Arabidopsis thaliana: one gene and its partner. The protein of the gene in region 2 interacts with the protein of the main gene of each other region in a biochemical or structural test. Each region holds a gene or a part of one and is shown on either strand. Other genes may lie near its edges.

Evidence for each region. Proteins that work in one complex are often made in the same cells at the same time.
Region 1: the proteins of CYCB2;1 (region 2) and CDKB2;1 form a complex in vitro, tested with the Arabidopsis thaliana proteins (one study listed by BioGRID).

What each region holds. Positions count from the first base shown.
Region 1 is NC_003070.9:28,720,824-28,724,576, forward strand, and holds the start of CDKB2;1 (cyclin-dependent kinase B2;1), read right to left. Parts: upstream 1,728-3,753; 5' UTR 1,529-1,727; coding exon 1,302-1,528; intron 1,008-1,301; coding exon 866-1,007; intron 775-865; coding exon 713-774; intron 600-712; coding exon 488-599; intron 397-487; coding exon 303-396; intron 203-302; coding exon 133-202; intron 45-132; coding exon 1-44. Other genes in the region: AT1G76550 (Phosphofructokinase family protein), read right to left, coding at 2,077-2,371, 2,455-2,558, 2,670-2,786, 2,867-2,971, 3,082-3,138, 3,216-3,260, 3,355-3,465, 3,577-3,650 and 1 more.
Region 2 is NC_003071.7:7,662,305-7,666,057, reverse strand, and holds the start of CYCB2;1 (Cyclin B2;1), read right to left. Parts: upstream 2,004-3,753; 5' UTR 1,895-2,003; coding exon 1,834-1,894; intron 1,727-1,833; coding exon 1,591-1,726; intron 1,503-1,590; coding exon 1,437-1,502; intron 1,359-1,436; coding exon 1,202-1,358; intron 1,116-1,201; coding exon 987-1,115; intron 901-986; coding exon 811-900; intron 737-810; coding exon 515-736; intron 419-514; coding exon 320-418; intron 231-319; coding exon 52-230; intron 1-51.

The sequences.
Region 1 (3,753 bases), on a different chromosome or scaffold from region 2:
TGCTCACTCCTGGCCACATTTCTTCATTGGGTGTCCCAAACAACCTGAGTTGTACACCGGAAAGAGCGGCAAAATGAAAAAAGGTTTTCTTATGTTTGTCATGTAAAAGGTGAAGAATCAACAAAGACTTACTTGAAAATATGGAGGAGCTGTTGGAGCTCAGAGTCTCCCTGAAAGATTGCTTGGTTGGTCACAAGTTCAGCTGTAAATGGTGAAGGAACAATGTTAATTGTTGTTGTTTAGTAACTTAAGATGATATCGCAGTGACTAGTGAAATCAACGAGTCTGAAAAGAACACATACCAAATATGCAGCCAACAGACCACATATCCACAGCTGTAGAGTAATGGGTGGCACCAAGAAGAACCTCTGGAGCTCTATACCAAAGAGTTAATATCTGTTGCAATGAACAACCGATTCAAAACCATAAGTTCTACAATACATACAAAGTGGGATAAGTGCAAGAAGCAGTGTCAAACATTGATTACCTCATGGGTATACTTCTTCATTGGCAGAGTGAAGGCTCTGGCTAAACCAAGATCTGCTATTTTGAGCCTCATTGTCTTGGGATCCATCAAGAGATTGTGAGGCTTGAGATCTCTGTTTTGAAACAAGGAGAAATAGTAAGAAGAAGAAATCTCTCTTCCAAGTTATTATCTAAAATCATTCTCACTTAGAAGTTGAAAACAAGGGAAAGCCAGAGAACAATTCACCTGTGCAATATCCCGTGACCATGGCAGAATGCCATACCTTTGCATAGTTGATACATCAAGCTCTGCAAATAACTTTTCAGAATGTTATGTTTGGTTCAAGTGAGCACAAATGAAGCGAGAAAGAGAGATGACAGTAATAAGGTGGTTAAAAACCTTGATAGTTTGGGTTGGAATGTTCTTGCCAGTGCTACGGAAACTTCTGATGAATTTCTTGACATCAGTGTCCATGTATTCAAAAACCAGGTACAGTACAGTTTTGCCTTCTTTGCTTAGTCCTTGCTTAACATCCATTAACCTGAAAAAGATGACAAATAAAGTTTCCGTATATAATTGATTTTGCAATCACTGGAAAACTAACTGATACAGCGATCCAGATCAAACTCTAGGGAAACATCTATCAACAGTTTCTCAGAGCCAAATCATCTAACAATTAGTAGACTCTTCGAACTGATTACTACGATTTGAAATTGAGATCTATCTAATCTGGAAAACAAGCGAGATAGTGAGAAATCGACTATATAAACCCTAACGCGACTACAAGATCGAGAATATGGGGGCAATTTTATCGAATCAGAGGTAAAACCCTAACCTGACGACGTGAGGATCACGAGCGAGCATTCGCAAAATGGAGATCTCGCGGAGAGTGGTGGAAGGAACGCCTTCTTCGTCCTCATGGAGACGCGTCTTCTTTAGAGCGACGATTTTCCCGGTAGCTTTCTCTCTGGCTCTGTAAACTTTCCCGTATGTCCCTTCACCAACTTTCTCAAGCTTCTCGAAAGCATCCATGGCGGAAACTGCTATAACTCCCTCGTCCATCGCTCTCTAAAATTCTTCTTCTCCGGCGCTCTCTCTCTCTCAGTTGGTTCTTATTGGGAAAGTGAATTGTCGGAGATCAAAGTGTAGATAGGTTATATAATTAAATGAGACCTGAAATTATAGAATCCTTATTCTTGGGCTTTCACAACGGACTGATTTTTCGAAATTCAAACTGGAGCGTGGAGGAGCGGTCTTTTCATAAACGCCTTTTTTTAATTTGCCACGTACTATAGTATTTAATTTTAATTTTTACATTTATTCATTTGTGTCCACTTGTCATATATATCCGTAGGTACTTTGATTTGGTCGCACCATATACAAATTATGATCGAGAAGGCAACAAGAAGATTAGTGAACCCAAACACAGACTTCTTCATTAAAAAAGCATTACTCAAATCCTTTAACTTTGAATATCCTTTTCCTAAACTCAACTTTGAACAATAAAGTTTGCGTAAATCAGAAGACGACTTCAAAATGGAAAGAGAGAGAGAGAGAGAGAGCTAATGAAGTTTATGGTTAAAGGGAAAACCAAAACAATAAAAAAATCTTTAAGCAAATTGCTGACCGCTGGTGGAAGAAGATGAGATCGTAGTGAGAACATCAGTCACCGAGGCCATAACACTCAATGCCGCTTTCAAAACATCTTGAGAGCAACCCGGTTTCACAATCGTCCTCACCTGATCAAGATACTCCTGCAGCTTCTTGATTTTCCCCATGTAATCCTGGTCTTCTACACACAGACTTACCGCCTTTGCATCTGCACCTGGACCATCATACTGGACTGGTCCTGGGTTTCGGTACATATCTTCCATCAAGAATTTCTGCGCGTTTTGTCTCAATAGACTGCAAAATCATTTGACAAATTATATCACTTGATTTCATGTTCATTCTAATCTTTGTCTAATGAGTGAGGAACAAAAGCTTACTCGTATGCTTTTCCTTTCAAGTCAACTGAAGCTGGATGAATTACAGGTCTACCAATCGTAGTAGAACCAGAATTTTGGGACCAACGCTTAACCGTCATCATTGCCTAAGGTTAAACAGAGAAAGAGATTGGGGTCAGTAAAACTGAAACTTGAAGTCAGAAATCAACACATATACTAAACAACTTTAGCCTTATAAATAAGAGACAAAACTCAACTGAGATAGGCGCAGCCCCGCATTTCCATTTGTTTACAGGACTCTTCAGGTTAGTCACTGTCGCCATGTAACCATTCAAACCAGCTGCGAGGATGTGGTAACATACATGTCCAAGAACCTGCATCAAAGTTATAATCAATGGTGTGAATGTCCATAATATTGAAGTTGCAATAGCATTTTAGTTTGGCGATCACATACATAGGCGTAGTCACAATCGAATTTTGATGGAAGAGATCCACGAGCTTGGTAACCAAAAAAGTGACAGATAGCGTTGAATTTCTTCCCTTTGTAGGTTCCTTCTTTCTGTCATTTTCAAAACTTAGTTTTAGGGACAACTTGAATATTCAGGCAAGGTTATTCAAAAAAATTTGAAAAAAATGGATTGTGACAAGTGAAAAAGATGTGCAACATACCAAGCGCTTGTTCATTTCAGTCTCCACAAGATAAGCCAGAAGTTTCTCCGTCTCAATCTAAGAAGAAAGTAAATGAGCAATTAGAATTCCAACTTTTTATAGCACAGTAACTCCATCATTTTCTTTCTTCTTACCTGGGATAGCTGAGCAGAATCATCAGACTCGGGATGGAGAAGTAGCTGCAGAAACAAAGAAGACAATTTATCATAAGAACACATACTCGTTTACATGTGAGAAAAAACAAAGAAAAGTACCATGTCAAAGAATTAGAACCTGTTTCTTAATGAATGGAGGCAAAAACTCAAACAAAGCAGATGACCAAGATGACAACTGAGTAGAAATATTATCAACCTGCACACCCTCCTTAAGCAATCCATGAATTTCCTGCATCGCACAACAACATGTAAATGCTTACTATGTTTTGGAACTCAAGAAACAATAAAAAATAGCACATTAAATGATAAATAGAAATGTTTGCCAGTATTGAATCGTTACCTTCAACAGAGCATAGAGTTCAGGAATACTCTCAACAAGCCCTTCAGGAATTAGGATGACTCCATGATTTTTGTCTGATACAAATAGACAGTTTATCAATAAAGTTAGGGAACAAGCAAAAGACATCACTTCCAACATACCAAAAGCTCGTTTTAGTTATCAGACCTTGTTCGGCTC
Region 2 (3,753 bases):
TTTTGTTTATGGACTTAAAGGACCATTCTTGGTAAAAAGAGAGAGACTTACATGAGCTGGTCTTCAGAGTAATGACAATGGAATTCACATGTACTGTTCCATTTCCTGGAACCATCAAGTGTACATTGAGCAGTGTACACAGATGTGGCAGCTAGTAATGATGGTGGAAACCGAAGCATCTCGTACTCCACAAGGGCAAGCTCGATCAAGAACGACGCCAAGACCTCACACTGTTTTGTTTTCAGTTTCACAGTTAGTTCCTTTCTAAAATTCAAACTTCTAGTTAAACTGATTCATAAGTCCATTATTTTTAACTAACCTTCTTGTCTGCTTGAGCTGCCTTGAGGAATCTTTTCAAGAACGGGTATTGTGTCGGTAACGAGATATTGAATTGCAAAGTACTCAACATTGTTTTCTCCTGTAAAGAAGAAAGAAATCATTTAATCAAAGAATGTCTTTAACATATATGAGACAAGATTACTTTTTCTATTAAGTAAAGAAGCCAGGCCTTTACCATCTCTAGAACATCGTTCCTCGTATACGCTTTGTCCGAAATGAGTACTAAATCTTCGACAACAGGAACCGAAACCTCCTCATACTTACAAGCTAACAGCAAAGCTACTAACCCTACAAGCTGAAGCTTCTTTCTCATAACATTTTGCTTGGACAAGAATCTATCTATCAGATTCACTGTCAGAAACAGTGTCTCGTTTATCAGATCAAACTTGTCATGTACCTGAAAACGTACTCAAGCATCTTTAGCCTCTATCAAACTACACAGTACAATGTGGAATGTTGTTGATAATATACCTCGATTAACCAGTCGATTAGTATTGCTCTCATCTTCTCGTTTAAGTCGATTTGTTGCATCATATAGTCTACTGGAACACAACTAAATCTCTGCAAATTCAAATCAAGAACTGTCTTAAAGAAGCTCTCAAGCCACTTATTACTTCAAAAACAGATAAAACTAAACCATAATTTACCTCCATTGTTCTGTAAAATGCGTAAAGATCTTGAACATATTCAACAGCCGCAAGCGAGTTCTTCGAGTCTAAGACATCGATATCCACGATCGGTTCTTCCACTGTTACATCCTCCATCTCAACTTCTTCCTATCCAATCAAAATTTTCTTGTAAATCATTGATTTATGAATTAAATCCATCAACAAAATTCTGAATTCTGTTTTGTTGTTGTTACCATTGGATCAGCTTCAATGTATGGTTTCTCAAGCGACATTGGCATTGGAAGGTCCAATGTAGCTTCCTCCTCATCAATAAATATACAATCACCGAAGTCGTTAGCACTTGGAACTGAGGGCTTCAGCTTCTTGTTAGTCTCTTCCTCAACTCCAGATCTGCAGATTCAAAAACAAACTCAGATCTTTCTTTCTTTAAAGTCAAAAAACGAAATGAAAGATTCAAGCTTTATGTACCTTGTAACTGAAGGACGCAAAGAATCAAACTTCTTCTTTTGACATCCTTCTTCTTCTTCTTGCTTACTGATTCAAATCAATCAAAACCCATAAGCACAATCAGATTGAAAAAAAACACTAACTTGTGAGAGATTAGAGATTTTGTTAAATTTACTTAGACAATAAGCTTCCTCTCTTGTTGACAACACAAGGATAAACTCTTGCACCAGCGAGATTCTGGTTAATCACACGCAACACTCTTCTCTTCTCCCTCTTCATCTCTTGTCCGAATTTTCTACTTCTTGTTTCATCTAAACAAAACCAGAAAAGAACACAACACATTCTGTCAGAATTCTCCTACGCAAACTGTAAAACACCTCGAAATTCTCGTATATTACTCGACAAATTCATCTACTACCTTGAAGAATCGTCGTTGAAGTGGGTTTAACGAAGATTTTGTTCTCGCATGAGTTAACCATTTTTTTTTTTGGTTTGTGATTATTACAAGAGAAACCCACAAAGAGAGTAGAAGAAGAAGAGCATTAAACGAAGAGAATCTGAAGAAGGGGATGAAATAAGCAAAAGAGGAAGATACAAACAAAATAAAAAAAAGTGTTGAGTTTTTAATTTTAAAAAAGGAACGGCTAGGATTAGAATTTAGAATATAACCGTTGGATCATGAGGGAACGATTTACTTCTAAGTTTGGTTCATATTCAGACAACGGTAACTTTGGTTCAAGGCATGTGGCTTTCGTCGTATTTCAAAAAAATTATTATTCTTTTTTGTTATTTTGGTGGCTTAACCTTTTTTTTTAAGACACAATTGTACGCTCCATAGGCGCGCCTCTAACAAACTTTTTGATTAAAACTTTATGTTTTATCTTAATCAACAATCTTAGGTTATTAATTAATCACATTTACAGAGCTAGTCATGCTTTTTAGTCTATCTTATTCTTAAGAGAAAGTTTCAATATGAGACAGACAAGATTCTGTACTGAGAATTATGCTGGCCCGTGGGAGTTATTGTTTCCGATTTGAAATTTATTTTGTAGGTGGATATTTACTAAAGTATTTGGAATTTTGCTGGCCTGTCAGAGTGTTTATTTGGAATTTAGAATTAGAGCTTACATTTCAGGATTTAGAATTTAAATATAAACATAAATTGGCTATTGGCAATGAAGAATATCAATAATGGTTTGAACACATTAATGTTTCTAGCTTTGACAGATAAAAAAAATGTTCTAAAAAAGTTATGGAAGTTTTCGAAAGATTATGTAACAATTAATTTACGGATCAATTATGAATAAAGCACTTAAAAGTATATGTCGTTGTTGATACATGCACAAAATCATGTGTCTATGCAATTATGTACTTCTCTCTCTTGTATTGACGATTTTACTCTTCGTATTATTAGCAATTAATTTGTTTTTCTCGTCTATGTTGTCCTCTTCTTCTTCTACACAACCTTTCCCATAATTCAATCAAAGAAACAATTAAATTACCCATCAACATGTGTGTAGATTTTATTAAATCTTTGATTCTCTTTGTTTGTCTTCCTTGTTAAACATGTAATTGAAAAGGTTGATTCAATTGAATTCTCAAATATGTAACTGATTTAATATGTGTATAAGATTGAAACATTTGGGTTCCCTATATATATCATCCTCTTAGGGTTTATATTTCTTTTAGCAACATGCATATAATTGGATTTATTGGGTTCAAAAGGTATAGAAGAAGGAAGAAGATCAATGAAGGTTTTGGAAGAAACAGAAAAAAAATCCAAAATCGACGTCACAGAAGGAAGAAGAAAGGAAGAATAAGAGTAACACTGTAATTTTACAGACCAAAATATGCTCATTTTCATAAGCTCAAATGAAATGTCATCTTTCTCTAATATTTGGGCTGAAATATGTTCATATCTATAAAAGCTCATTTAATTTACAGATCGTGAGATTTAAAAACCTTATAAATTTTTTTAAAAAACTTGCTAAATAAATTGTTATATTACTACGTTAACAAATTCGGCTATGCTTGATTTTTTTTTTTTAAAACAATGTATGGTATCAACAACAAGTTTCCTTCGTTTCTTTTGTTTTGGAAAAACTTGTGAAATCTATTGGAAAACTTGTGAAAGTTTGCAAAAAGAGGAAAAAAATTGAAAAAATACTTTTACAAGTTTTTTGTCCATCACCATGAGCACGAGAACACTGTCCATCGACAAATTCTTTTCGCACATAAACAGTAGAATTATGTCGACTCAAGAGTATTTTCATTAAAATATGTAAACTAATATGAGGCTAATTGAGAAAATTAAGTTATGGCTTAGTGCTATTTTTCT